Linked DNA regions of Arabidopsis thaliana. The protein of the gene in region 3 interacts with the protein of the main gene of each other region in a pairwise test. Each region holds a gene or a part of one and is shown on either strand. Other genes may lie near its edges.

The links. The genes of interacting proteins can lie anywhere in the genome.
Region 1: the proteins of ARF8 (region 3) and IAA2 interact in binary tests that used the Arabidopsis thaliana proteins (3 or more experiments, as listed by UniProt).
Region 2: the proteins of ARF8 (region 3) and SHY2 interact in a two-hybrid assay, tested with the Arabidopsis thaliana proteins (2 studies listed by BioGRID).

The regions. Positions count from the first base shown.
Region 1 is NC_003074.8:8,180,133-8,184,001, reverse strand, and holds IAA2 (indole-3-acetic acid inducible 2), read left to right. Parts: upstream 1-1,906; 5' UTR 1,907-2,055; coding exon 2,056-2,489; intron 2,490-2,581; coding exon 2,582-2,933; 3' UTR 2,934-3,356; downstream 3,357-3,869. UniProt on the Arabidopsis thaliana protein: Aux/IAA proteins are short-lived transcriptional factors that function as repressors of early auxin response genes at low auxin concentrations.
Region 2 is NC_003070.9:1,127,636-1,131,283, forward strand, and holds SHY2 (AUX/IAA transcriptional regulator family protein), read right to left. Parts: upstream 2,055-3,648; 5' UTR 1,985-2,054; coding exon 1,500-1,984; intron 1,418-1,499; coding exon 1,109-1,417; exon of another isoform or gene 1,005-1,108; coding exon 929-1,004; 3' UTR 514-928; downstream 1-513. Other genes in the region: AT1G04230 (rRNA-processing EFG1-like protein (DUF2361)), read left to right, coding at 1-38, 188-193. UniProt on the Arabidopsis thaliana protein: Aux/IAA proteins are short-lived transcriptional factors that function as repressors of early auxin response genes at low auxin concentrations.
Region 3 is NC_003076.8:14,627,596-14,634,972, reverse strand, and holds ARF8 (auxin response factor 8), read right to left. Parts: upstream 5,521-7,377; 5' UTR 4,823-5,520; coding exon 4,780-4,822; intron 4,696-4,779; coding exon 4,586-4,695; intron 4,497-4,585; coding exon 4,398-4,496; exon of another isoform or gene 4,292-4,397; coding exon 4,235-4,291; intron 4,159-4,234; coding exon 4,003-4,158; intron 3,910-4,002; coding exon 3,825-3,909; intron 3,544-3,824; coding exon 3,453-3,543; intron 3,382-3,452; coding exon 3,217-3,381; intron 3,133-3,216; coding exon 3,010-3,132; intron 2,898-3,009; coding exon 2,822-2,897; intron 2,694-2,821; coding exon 2,546-2,693; intron 2,314-2,545; coding exon 1,340-2,313; intron 1,252-1,339; coding exon 1,061-1,251; coding exon of another isoform or gene 1,057-1,060; intron 985-1,056; coding exon 867-984; 3' UTR 519-866; downstream 1-518. Other genes in the region: AT5G37030 (P-loop containing nucleoside triphosphate hydrolases superfamily protein), read left to right, coding at 1-359. UniProt on the Arabidopsis thaliana protein: Auxin response factors (ARFs) are transcriptional factors that bind specifically to the DNA sequence 5'-TGTCTC-3' found in the auxin-responsive promoter elements (AuxREs). Seems to act as transcriptional activator.

The DNA of each region.
Region 1 (3,869 bases), on a different chromosome or scaffold from region 3:
TATATGACATACTTTTTTTTTTTGAATAAACGAGAAATTAAAGTAGAAAATAATTAACATTTTTACCATGATAATTAAAACACGGTTAATATTTCTAACCAAAAAAAATTAAGAATCTATTAGCTAGTTCATATAGTTATTCACGTACCTCTTCAAGATATGTACGTTAAAATTGTCATCAGAATCTGTAGTCCTTGTAGAGTAAAAAATATCAAATATTAACATAAAAGAACAAACAACTGTTGATTCAGTACATAAATTAATACATTAAATTGACCACAGAGACCAAAATAATCTAAAAATGATTTATGTATTTGGCTTAAGTTCAATATTGTTTTTTAGGCAAAACTTAATGTTCAATATATATTCATGGAATTAACTCCATAATAAACAGTAACTGAATTCTCTTGTACTTTCTTAAATGGTTTTCAGTAAAAAGGTTTAGTTTAACCAACAAATAACTTTAGCAATCATCTATATAAGCATAAAGCATCACATAGATCTAGTAGTTATGTTTCTATAATACATTTTCACTAAGACTAAAACATGCATGAACACACAAACAGGAAAAAACTATTCTCAAGAAGTTTGTTTCCCACCATGTTAAGTGATTCTAGAAATCTGTAAATGGTTAACCTTTAGTATTCATTCGTGCAATATTTAACAGACAAATGGTATTCATTCGTGCATCTCTCAGTTTGTGAGAAAATACATTGCATGAGTTCGTTATTAACTGGAAATAATACATAAAACTCTGACAATCAGAACCTCTAAATTATTTACTTATAAGAAGAGAGGCAACGTATCTTGCATCGCTTTTACTTATCTAATCTTTTGGTGATGGAAGGGGCAAGAACATAGAAGGAATCTTTATCTTAAAAGAAGAGAAAACAAATAATATCCAAAATTGGTAAATCCATTGAATAAAGCCTAACGTTAACATCAAATCGCATGCGGATTAGAAGCTAAATGCACATAGTTAAGCGTAATCTATGGGGAGAAATTAATTACCACTTTTTGGTTCATTCTTTTAAGTTTTATGATTCAATGAATACATAGCACGTGGAACCTCTCTCCCCCACAACCCATTTTGAAGGGAAATGAATAATTAAAAGAGACATACACATAAGAAAGCACATGGCTTTACCATTCCTCTATCAATTACCAACACATTTGACCCTTATCCACATGGGTCTTCGTCTCCTATTATAAAATCAAAATCTACACACAAAATGTTATAACATTTTCCAACTCACAATATACAAAATGCCACGCATAAATATGTCTTCGCAAGACAAATATGTAACGTTTAATATTCGATATTATCTGAGATTTAACCATAAAACTAATATTTCTTTATTAATCAAATTACATCTACGAGCAAAAATGATAAAATTCAACTTATGCACATTCAATAGTTCGTAACACATAAGAGTACTTGGAAACTCTAAATAATCTTCATTTTGGAATCAGGATTCAATAAAATAGTACTTTATTTGACATAAGTGTCCTTTTAACCATTTTTTACACCATACGTTTTTTCTTCTGAATCGAAATTTTTACATCATACTTTCAAAACATCTATTAATCTTTTAAGTTAAAAATTAATAAATCAATAGAAGTAAACTAAAAATAATAATCAACTTTCACATCAAATTTTAAGACAACACATTATATTTAAATATATATTAAGAATATCTATTATGCAACAAATGGATTAACAATCATTAGCACTTGATATTTTCTTTATAACCTGCACTATACACTTTCAAAAAGAGAAGAAGAAACCTTTAAGAAACAGTAAATAAATGTTATTATAATACACCTCTTTAGTCTTTACTTTATTTATATTTTCTCTGTTTGCTTTTATTCCGGGTCGGCCGATAGAATTCTCATCATTTCATTCATTTTTATATTCTTTCGTTATAATTATTATACATCCTTTGAAAGAAAAAGAAGAGGCAATAGAGATGGACGGCTAAGATGTTAACGTAAACAAAGTTGGCGGAGGGAAAAGAGGAGCGTGGAATAATTAAACAAAAGAGTCGTGTCCACATGGGCGGCCTCAAGCTTCGTGTCCCACTTTTGTCCCCTTGCCTCTTTCTTGCCTTTCATGCTTCCGACAACACTTCTCTCTCTTCCTTTAACCCTAACTTCGATGCTCCTTTATATATATCTCTCTCCCCTTTTCTCCAAAACTCATCAACCAGCTCACCAAGAACAAGAACAAGAAGAAGAAGAACAAGACAAGAAGAACAAAGTACCCAAGAAAACACACAAGAAGGAAACACAAAGATTGATATTGATCCAAAAGCAATGGCGTACGAGAAAGTCAACGAGCTTAACCTTAAGGACACAGAGCTATGTCTTGGATTACCCGGAAGAACAGAGAAGATCAAAGAAGAACAAGAGGTTTCTTGCGTTAAAAGTAACAACAAGCGTCTATTTGAGGAAACTCGTGATGAAGAAGAATCTACACCTCCTACCAAGTAAGTAGAAGAGATCTGAGTTTCAAATTGGCTTCTTTCAAATTATTGGCTCTTGAATAGTTTTACTAATCTTTCTTTCCTCAAATTTACAGAACTCAAATCGTTGGTTGGCCACCAGTGAGATCTTCCCGTAAGAACAACAACAGTGTGAGCTACGTGAAAGTGAGTATGGACGGAGCTCCTTACCTTCGCAAGATCGATCTCAAGACATACAAAAACTACCCCGAGCTTCTCAAAGCGTTAGAGAATATGTTCAAAGTCATGATTGGTGAATATTGTGAGAGAGAAGGATACAAAGGATCTGGATTTGTACCAACATACGAAGATAAAGATGGTGACTGGATGTTGGTTGGTGATGTTCCATGGGACATGTTCTCTTCTTCTTGTAAGAGACTCAGAATCATGAAGGGATCCGACGCTCCTGCTCTAGACTCTTCCTTATGATCCAGAGAAGCTGAGAATCTTTTGTCTAAAAAGGAGATGATGACTATGATCGATGAATGAAAAACCCTTTTTGGTTTGATTCGGATCGGAGTTTGACTAAAGTTGACCGTGAAAGACGAAACTTCGGGGTTTTGTCCGACGAGAGATCCATCTCTAGTGATGTTCTTTTTGTTTTTGTATTTAGATTTGAAGTTTGATGTAAAGATACATGAGATTTTATGTATAATACGGACACATACACAATCTATAGATGTATAATGTATTAAGTAGTTATGTCCTATAAGATCATCAGTTTTCTGTTCTTGATCACGAACATAATATTTTAAATTTCAGAAACTTATACACATTTGTTTAGCCAAGGTTATTTATTAACTTTTTTTTTTGTTTAAAGTTTAACCAAGGTTATTATTTACTTATTCAGCAAAACATTTACCACCACATGAGACAAATTTTCTATAATGCCTTCCCAAAACACATCCACAATTCTATAGATAGGCCTTGTCGATCAAAAGATTTCAAAAACAATTTTTCTTTTTGATGAATTGTAAATGACTCTGTCTCTTCAGCTTATTAGATGTTTTAGCTAAACTGCAAGAATTATTATGTAATAATTTTGTTATATTAAAAACAGAAATTAATATCTAACCTAAACAATTCAACCAATTGTAAAAAAATATTACATAATAATATAAGTCTGATAACATATGAAATTGAAAAACACAATTTAATATAATAAAACTGAGAAAATAATATTAGTTTTTCTAGGGTAAAGGTTATTAATATTACATAAAAACATAATAATATTAATAAAACACAATTTAAGATTATAGATTTTTAGACTACAAAAGGGCTCATGGGAAGTTCTCGAACCGGAACTGAACCAAAATACCGAACGCCAATGACTAGTTTTCAAGTATGTTTTTTTCATTATGTGAA
Region 2 (3,648 bases), on a different chromosome or scaffold from region 3:
CCAAGAGGAAGAGAAGGCCTAAGAAGAAGAAGCTACAGGTGAGTTTTCTCTCGACTCTTTCCTGGAATTCTGTTTCGTACTTTTGTTGAAAGTCTTATTGGTACATTTGCATCAATCTTTCAAACTCTATAACTAAAGAATCTGCATTTTACAAGCTGATTATATATTATTCGTTTTGCTGTTTCAGGCGTGAACAAGGTCTCTCCCGCCATGTCTGAGAAAACGAAGAAGCTCGTAACACAGTTCATCAATTCCAAAAGCTTCACTCATTACTACGGCCTGTCTAGTCTTACATCTTCTGATTGGATCTAATGCGTATATATATGTTGCCATGAAAGCAGAGAGGTAGGTGTCTGTTGTTTTTGGCTGATGAAATGAACCCTAAGCTTTGGGCAAAACGTATTTCTCATATAAGATAAGTTTTTTTTTTGTTTCTATTGATTTATGTTCATGTTGGCTTTGATCGAATTGTATTAATTAATGGGAGTAATCCAACCTCGACCATCAATAATATGATCTAAGAACTAGTGAACCAAAATAGAAAATGGGTATTGCTTGAAAATCTCTTTGATCAATGAGAACGCAAAACAGAATTGCTACAAATATAAAAACAACTCTTCAATCTTCATAACACTTTAATTAATGTAATACACATAACCAAAGATTTAAGGACAACCTTTTGCCCTGTTTCTGAAACAAAATGTAATTAGGTTCCAGTTTCATATGCTTAAGACCATTAAGCATGTTTACATTTGAATTTTACCGATGAGGTAAATAAAGGCTATGAATTGGATTCAATCCAATGAACATAGATCTTGCCCGAGAAACCCGACAACCCAAGCACAGACAGAGATTTCTCTGAACCAAAAGAAACTCTATTTTTCTTCAAGTTCTTTTGTGTCTCTGTTAGATTTCTTGAAGATATATCTCATACACCACAGCCTAAACCTTTGGCTTCTGATCCTTTCATGATCCTTAGTCTCTTGCACGTACATATGAACATCCTGCAACAACAAACAGAACCCATAAGAACACTTACAAAATTGTTGTTTCTGATTTTTGATTTTGTGGAAATTGTTTTCAGACAGGTATATGAAAGAAGACTTACTCCCATGGAACATCACCAATGAGCATCCAATCACCATCTTTGTCTTCATAAGTAGGCACAAAGTCTGAACCTTTATATCCATCTCTCTCAAAGTACTCTCCCACAGAGAATTTGAACATCACTTCTAAAGCTTTAAGCAACTCTGAGTATCCTTTGTAACAACTCAGATCTATTTTCCTCAAGTATGGTGCACCATCCATACTTACTTTCACATAGATTCCTTGACCCTCATGCTCAGATTCATTCTTCTTACTCTGAATGTTGTTCTTCCTGTAAGATCTAACTGGTGGCCATCCAACAATCTGAGCCCTGCAAAAAGGAAGAAACACGGTCAATCAACTGAATTCTCCACCACTACAGATTCAGAGACTTTTGTGTGAGTTTAACTTACTTTCGAGGAGGGGATGTTTCAGTTTTCCTTGATGATGATTCAATCTCCTTCTCAGTATCAGTTGATAGTACTCTCTTATTGTTGTTATTACAGCAAGAAACTCTCTCTTTTGCTTCACATACATTATCTGTTCCCGGTAATCCCAGCCTCAGCTCTGTTTCCTTGAGGTTAACAAACTCATCCATTTCTTCAAGAATTGCAGGAGAAGATAAAAAGAAAAGCTTTTGGTTATTATCCTTGAAAGAGAGGAGAGATATAGAGAAGCTGCTGATGATGAAGATGAGAGGCTTCGAGGAAGCTGAGTGTTTTATACAAGTTAAAGGAGAATAAAGATAGATACTGGTAGAGAGAGAAGAAACTGTTTTCTGAATTAAGGACAAAGGAAAAAAAGCTAAGCTTGTCGGTAGCAGTAACAGCAACTTTGAGGCAAAAGTGTGTCCCATCTTCTTGGGGACATTTGTGGGGACACTTTCTTTTTCTCCCATCTGTCCAAACCCAAAAACAAAATATTTTCATCTTTCTTTCTTGTGATAGACGGTCCAGATCAAATCTTCGAATCCCCCACCACATGTGGTATGCCATATGGGCATATCACCTCTCTCTATCTCCCATTAATAACTTATCACAACCAAGAAATTTCGGATCGTAAGCTCATAATCTTTTCTTACCAAGAACAACAACCGAATACATATTTTACTCGTTTTCTCAATAGATGGATGGTTAATTAACTCTATATGTAAAGGTAGCTAGTGTTCAATGTTTGGATTGTGGGTAGTTCAGATTTGATGAGTTTATTGACTTGAGATCATAAGTAATAATTTATGTCTCACATCTTCAAAAAACAGGTACTTTGGGTGTTGAAGAGCCAAAAACAGAGCCTACGTGACAAAATTACTTATTGTTCTTTACTGGGGTTTGTTAAAGCCCACAACTTTTGTCTCTCTGTCTCTAACCTATTAATCATGATCACCACACACACACACACACGTATATATGAATTTGAAATAAAACTGAGCATCACGACAGGACATCTTCCTTAAGGATCAACTAGCACAAGGCTTTAGTTAAATGTCAGTAACATCATAATGGGGTCTTGTAGTTTTGTTTTGGAACCTGAGAGATCTTTAACAGATTCTCGCTGTCTTTGTTTATGTTACAGCGTGGCATTGGTTGTATTCTACTTATATGGAGCTCCTATTGTAGATGTTTACGTCTTTGACATAACCTACTCGAATTGAACCGGATCTAAGTTTTGGCTCCATTTTTTGGTTTTCTCATGCATGGCTTTCGAAATCGAAGTCCGAATCGGTACTATGCAAAGAGTTGTTAAGAACTTATGTTATAACTTTACATTATACGTGTAACAATAATCCTAAAAGAATTTTTTTTTTTTTTTTATCTACATATATACGTACGTAGTGACTTTCAACAAGTACTAACGATTAACGAACATATTTCAACAAAATAAATTCATACAATTAGAGGTGACTGCTAACAGCTACTCAGTACTCATCACGCATTGATTTCTTCTGTACGGTGAGAAACATTCTCTTCTTGGTTCAGTCATAAATTACTAGATTCGTTTTCTTGACAGAACAGGTCATAAGTTTGAATTGAATTAATTGTATTTATACCAAGAAAAACTGATGGGAATATATATATATTTATATCATTATTTGTGAATTGGTCACAATATATAGAAGCATTTGATGACTAATATATGTAATATAAAGTTTGCACACACAAACAAATATAAAGTTTTTCCTAAAAAATTTATTTATAATCCGTCAGTGGAACGTAAGATAAAAAATAAATATAAATTAAATGTTTTGTATTCCCATATATATCTTATCCATAAGGAGTTAAAGACTTTTATTAGGCATGAATATCCGCAGGCTTTTCTCATTCACTATAGTATTATGGCATCATCTTTTATTTTTCTGCACTCATTATATGTCATACTGTAGCATACTTTGCAATTTAATTATATATATAAACGAATTTAGTAACTTATACTGAAAATAAAATGACAATGTCTTAGCTACAACAACTAATCACACAAAAATGATTTGTTTTGGTTTTTTAAAGGATAAATTAGACCATTAAGTAACAATCACGAATTTACTATAGTAGCAGTTAACGCAAAATA
Region 3 (7,377 bases):
AAGTTAGAGCAATCCAAGAGAGAATCAGAGATAAGTACAGTTCCTTATCAGGTGAGCTTTTCACTGTGAATGTTCGGTCTGTAGATGGGTTTCAAGGTGGTGAAGAAGACATTATCATCATCTCTACCGTTAGAAGTAATAGTAACGGGAAGGTTGGATTTCTCAGTAACCGTCAAAGAGCCAATGTGGCACTCACTCGAGCTAGGCACTGTTTATGGGTGATTGGAAATGAGTCAACACTGGCTCGGAGTGGTTCGATTTGGGCAAACCTTATAAGTGACTCGAAGAGACGTAAATGCTTCTATGATGCTAAAGATGATAAGAGATTGAGAGATGCCATGAATGCTGTCCAAGGTTGATAAGTCTGATGTGTGTGCACGTTTAAGTACTCTTTGGGTCAAAAAGAAAGGGAGAAAATGAGTTGTTGGTACTTCATCTATGTCATTCTTCAACCTAAGTTACTAGTAGAAGCTTTTGGTAACATTTTGTGATTAATGGTTGTGTTTTAAAGATTTGGTTGGTTTTGGTTTCACACCTTATGGAATCTAATTGGTCTGACCAAACTGAATGTCTAACAATGTTGTTACAAAAATAGAATAAGAATAAATACTAGAAAAGTTTAGTTACCCTGAGACAGCTACATAAAGGTTCTTATGTTTATGACGAGAGTGTCTGTCTAATACAAGCTAAAGTACGTCCTAAAGTTTCAGGACCCATACTCACAAATATGATTATGTTTCTTTCTAAAAACGTCAAAACGAGAGAGATGCGAACGAATGGCATATAAAGATGAGTGGAAACGACTTCAAATGGGAAACAAAGGGCTCCCGCGTTGTAGCATGATGAGACTAACACCGAAGCAGCTTCTAGAGATGGGTCGGGTTTTGCGGGAATAACCCACCACTGCCTTCTCCATGATCTCCCATTTGATGCACATCTTCTGGTGATAGTATCTTTATGTACCAAACGTTATTCACAAATGACCTGCAGAACAAGCTTTTAAAGATCTATCTCAAATCTAAAGCAATGTATACAAATAGAAGAAGAGTACTTTACTTACTCCCATGGGTCATCACCAAGGAGAAGAATATCATTTTCCTTGTCAACGAATACAAGCTGCCAGCCTGATCTAAGGGGGTCTTCCAACAACCCTTCGATAGCAAACATCTTCCCTAACTCTTCTCGCAGCTCGTGGTAGCTGCTGAATCGGGAGATGTCTAATGAACGCCCAACCGAACCAGATTTATAAACCTGCAGTTTTGGATTTGTAAGCATATCAGTATTTTCTTAGAGACAGTAGAGCCACAGAGAAGTCGGTGAGCCTAGAACAAACCAGCACCTTTACAAAGTTCTTGGTTTGGTTGGACGAGTTAATCTGTCCAGCTCCATGCAATAACTCATGAGTTGTGTCTTGCATGCAGCTATATAAGGAATTCTGAAATCCTGAATCTGTTAGTGACATAGGGGAAGCTTCAGCATCTCCTGATGAAGAAGCAAAGCGGGGAACCGTACTGGGGAGGAAGAGTCCAGAGTCGGGATCAACACCGAAAAGAGAGGGATTCTGCGGATTTCCGGGTTCTAGAGCAAGACTCTTCCCAGGATAGGCTTGTGGAAGTGACAACGGTTCAGAAAAAGTGTTGGATGCTTTTGGAGACCAGCCCTCTGTTGTTAACTGCTCAGGGAGTACAGACTGACCGGTTATAGAAAAATTCAAAAGATTGCCATCTCCAGAAGCCGGACTAGCAGTTGTTGCAAATTTGTTGCTTGAGTCAGTAAAATCTGACTTCATGAACGAGGGAGATGGCATCTCTGATTGCTGCTGCCACTGTTGAAGATGGCCATTTTGCATTTTGAAAGCATTAAGATATGCATTTTGGTCCGGTTGCTGTAGCTGTTGCTGCTGTCCAGCTGGTTGGTTACTAACTTCTTGTCGCATATTCTGCTGCGGAAGATTCTCACTCATAATCTGTGTTTGAGCATGCATGAGATGGCGTGACGCTTGTTGCTGCTGTTGCTGCTGAAGCATCAAATCAGAATTATGGGAAGCTGATTGTTGAAGATATTGGTGGTGAGGCTCTTGCAGCTGTACAAACTGCTGTCTTAAAGGATCTCCACCGCCGATGTTCTGCAACCCAGCAGCTAACATTGCTTGGTATTGCTGATTATTATCAGTCCCCATTTGACTGAGATCCAGCCTTTGTTGCATCCATGGAAACAAACCAACAGATGGATAATTTAGAGGAAGCAAACCTTGCTGCTCTCCACCTCCCCCTCTTAGCCATGTTAGACCACTTCCCAAATCACCCCTTCCATCTGTAACATCATAATGTTTTGAGTAAATAGCTATGGAGAGTACCTACACACTTCTTTGTAAATAAATTATAACAGTAAGACCCTCTTCAGAGCTCTACTCAATCGAACATTTGTTATTTATCCGAAGTAGCAACTAAGTTACAATAGCAGAAACACTGAGTGACAGTAAGAGACTTCACGAACGTACTATACTAGTTAATAACAGTTAGGAGAAGAGCCAAAAGGTGGATACCAGGCAAAGATGATGTGCCAGCATGCCATGGACGTTTTAGTCTGAGAGGAAAAAGAGATGGATACATAGGAAAGGTAGTCAGAGGCTCAATCTCCCATAAAGAAACCCTTGGCTGTCTCTCCCCTGCAGTCGATTCATCCCAACCAACCTACACCAATAATGCCACAGTTCATCAATGTTGATGGAATTTCAGAGTAATATTGGACTAAATCATCAGAAAGCTGTGTGACGTTCCATGGAATTTAAATAAGGTAACAGGCTTAATAGTGTTGTTACCTTCACAGATCGCCAATGAGAGTTTGGCCAACGAACAGAATCTAGATCACTAATACCAGTTATAGTACCCATGTACCTGGAAAGTTCCCCATGCCACTGTCAGAAAACATGTTAAAGTAATATGTGTAACATAATGATATAGTTTTCTCAGTTTCAAGATTGCATTTCCAGATATGTGGCATCATCACCTGCGGACACTCGACTCTTCTGTCTCGAAGAGCATGCGAAAGCGCATCCCAACTGAAATACGCGTGTGAAAAACGGCTTTAATGTACTTGGAAAGTTGTATCACAAACTCAGATTGGCTAGCCCTGAACATGAAGAGAATATTAGTAGGATATATTATCGGATATACCGAGAGATGAAAAAGATGCAGGTGGGAGAGATTTTTCAACCTTGGATGAAAGAAAACAGTGAAACAGCTATTAGTTGCAGAAGCATGTGCAGCAGCAGCAAGGAGTCCAATATGCATGCTATCACTAGATAAAACAGATGATGGTACAATAGTCTGCGGCCGAGTGGCATGACGAATTCCCAAAAAGAGTTGATTCTTTTCATTCCTGGAAACAAGTAATAGTGTTACAAATATAATCACAATCCACAAACTGAACGTACAACAAAAGAACTAAACCTGATGAAAATGACAGAATCTCCAGCTACTAGTCGCTTGGCACTGACAAAGACACTCCATCCAGTAGTTAGGAGATGCCGTTTGGGCTGTCCTGCATAATCACACCAAAACCATGTAAGTTATTCCTAACAAACCAAGAAGAAGGATTCAAATCAACTTAACTTCATATGAACAAGTAAATAATTCCACGTTATAATAGACAACGACAAGAACACAGAGCCTCCGTGGTTTCTTCAACTAAACCACACATGAGTAGTGAAAATAACAGCAGATGCTGCTTCAGACATACTTAACAGCCAATTGAAATTTTTACACTGGCGACTACAGTTAAAAAGGGATCATCAACGCACACCGAGGAAAGGTGAAACCTACCCCGAAAGATATGCCTAAACTTCCATTCAACATCATGGAGATCCCTTGCAATCAGTTCTTGAGCTGGTGGCTGCAGTGTGTAATCCTGCAACAGGGAAGACACAAGATATTAAAAGGAATACATATATTTTCTCAACAACAATTTATAGCAAAGTAAGTAAAAGAAAAAGTATAATACCAATGGAGGAAACACTTTCTCAGCAGCACGTCTAGGAACAGAAAACCCTCCATGTGTACTGGTATCACTAGCTGTGAGAGTCTTACAAAAATAATTACTAGGTTGCTTACTCGGTATCCCCAACTCAATCGGTACAAATGTTTCCTTCTGCTCCTCCTATAAACAACACCAATCCTAAAGCTTAAGTTATTAATTCACAGACTCAAAAACCTGTTATGTATAATGTATCTACCGGTGTCAATGGTTGAAGTGTCATTTGAGCATAGACTTCATCCGTCTCAACATCTGCCTGAAATAGTAGAAACGAAACCCATACTTACAAAGCACATCATCCCAAAACTAGTTTACAAAAGTAAAAATTGAATATGGAAAGGGACAGGGAACTAACTACGCACATGCATTGTAACATTATGGAGCTGGCATATCAATTGTGGTGGTAGGCTTGGGTAATTGGGTATGTGACCATCAACTTCCTTATTAGTTGTAGCAGCTACCTACAAGTACACTTCTATTTAAATGGAAATGCCCAAATATAACACAAGTCTAAAAATAAAGCTCCATACTTTTAAACAACAACCCAAACCTGTTCACTGTGACCCTGTGGAAAGTAAACAACTCGACTACCAGATGATGGAAGAGAGACTAATGGTCCAGCACAAGCATGCCATAGCTCAGAATTCAGACACTTCTCTCCTGTTAGAACAAACACAGACACAAGAACTAAGAAAACACTTGTCCAGAAACAGAACTAAGAAAATCAGAGAGTAAACAAGTCACCTTCATGACCCTGTTGACCCAATCCAGATGTTGACAGCTTCATGTCTAATTCAACTTCAAGAAACCAAACTTTGAAAACCCTAATTTTTCCGTACAATCTATTAAAAAATCTTCTTCACTTCCAGCTACTACAGTAGCTATAACTCTTTAGCTCCGGAAGTACAAACTCGTCTTTCTCCATCTCCTTTGTTCAAACCCCCAAAAATCTCACTCACAACCATAAGACTCAGTGAAAGCTTCGAATCAAAAAACCATCCATAAAACCCTTAAACACAAGAAACAGAACAAACCCCATTTCTTCAAAACCAGAATCTGTTTCTTCTCATCATCAAACCATGAACAACAACACAAGCTCTCTACTACAAGTACGCATTGAAGCAACCCCAACAGAAAAAAAAAAACTCTTGTCTTTGAGATCTTTGTGGATGAAAAAATGAAAGAAACAAGACAAAAGAACAAATCTTTCTTCTTCAACAACTTGACTTCTCTCGTGGGTAAAAAATTAAATCTCTTGAAGCAGTTCCATCACTGTCCAAGAGAGACACTTTGGCTTTCAAAAACAGAAGAGAGAGAGAGAAAGAAATGGTTAGTGAGAGAAAAAGATATGTGTCAGAGAGAGAAAAGAAGAGTGCGTGGGGGTGAAAGAGAGAGAGAAAAGAAGAAGAAAGTGAGTAAGTGGTTTTCCTCCTCTTATAAGAGACCCGACCCGACTCCACCCGACCCGGATTTGACCCGGATCCGATACAGTGGAGAGAAGGAAGAAGAAGAGAGGTCCTACTAACGAGAATTATGAGAGGTGGTGTCAGTACCAGAGTCACTTCTTTTTGACCGTTGGATTTGACTCTTGAGATCTTGATCGTTGAAAAATAATAATTGTTTTTTTTGAGGTCTTGGATTCGATGAAAAGGACAATGAATTATAGTATTTGAAGTGAGAGAGTGAGAGAGAGATAATAGAGTTGTCATAAATGTTAGCGTTGTTTATTTTAAATACTTTTTATTTTTGCTCCATTCATTGATGAAAGAAACACCAAATACTCCCATAATTTGATTTATTTAAAGATAATTTATAGTAGTATTTAATTTAATAACTCAAAAAATATTTTGTTGGATCTTTTATGAGTTCGTTGAAAAAATGGTCAAAGGTTTATCTATTGATAAGTGATGTATTATTAGATTCGCAAATCTAAGTTCTAATTTAGAAACAATCATTAGCAAATAGATGCCCGATAATCCAACATCTTATGGATACCACTATTTTACTTACCAAAAGAGAAAACTAATACACATGGATCTTGTTTGAATAATTTTTAAAAAATTTGGGATATGGAGTGTATCACTTGGAGAAGCTGGATTTGGAATAATCTTTGCAAGTTAAGACCCTTAACTAGGTTTTTCATCGTTTGTGAAATTGGTTCAGAAATAACTTGTAATTTCTGGACTGATAATTGGATTTTTTTGGGACCATATTTGTCGAGCTAACCTGAAGATTTATGACTAAGAATTTCTCTTCTCCCTCGTTCTGTTGTGGTTGCGGATGCATTGAGAAAGAGACAATAGTGGCTTACAAATTCTCGAAGTCGCAGTCCCATTATTCAGTTGCTTAAAGAATGTCTTCCTTCCTATTCTACTGTTAACTTACAAGAGGATGTAGAGGATGATGTTTACCTTTGGAAGGTGATGATATCCATGCATCAAATATTTTCTCTGCTGCTAAAACTTAGGCACATTAATATTCAAAAAAAAACTTATGCACATCTTCATCCTCCTGACACAAAGATGGATCGGTTTGAATCTGTGTGATTTCCAGGAAGGATTCTTAAGCATGCTTTCATTGCTTGGCTAAAGTCTCATCATAGACTTCTCACTAGAGACAAAATGATTCGATGGGGCATGACTACTCCTTCGTCGTGTCTTCTCTGTAATTTGATGGATGAATCTCGCTAACATTTATTCTTCGACTGCTCTTATGTTGCAAAGGTATGACACTATTTCTATGATAAAGCCCATCTTTCTCCTCTAAATCAATTTGAGGATGAAGTTAGATGGTTGAAGAATCCTTGTCGTGACAAGAAAACTACTTTGATTCTTCGAATTGCCTATCAAGCCTCACTGTACTCCATATGGAAAAAAGCGCAATGCAAGATTGCATAATTCATCCTCAAAGCCAGCCTCAGTTCTCATTATTTATCATTAACATTCTTCAATGTCATCTAGACCCTTGTTGGATAGCTCAACGGATCATTCATCTGGTTTGGTGTCTTTCAATAAATTTATTGTAATACTTTTGTTATCTCATTTATTTCGATTGTAGGTTCAATTTTCCTTGGTGTAACTTTTCCACTTCTATTATATGAAAGATATGTTTTTTGAATAAAAAAAACTGCTAAATGGAAGTTTCCTTCGTTCTATCGATGGTAATATCGTGCGATACGTCGCAATCATTTATATAACTCAACGATTGATTTTTTAAAACAACATGATGTCAAATTATATGGGCTCATCATCATGGGCACAAAACAAATACTATTACATGAAATTAAATTTAAAATTAAGATTACTATAATTTCAATATATTTTAAATTTATCAATTAATTAT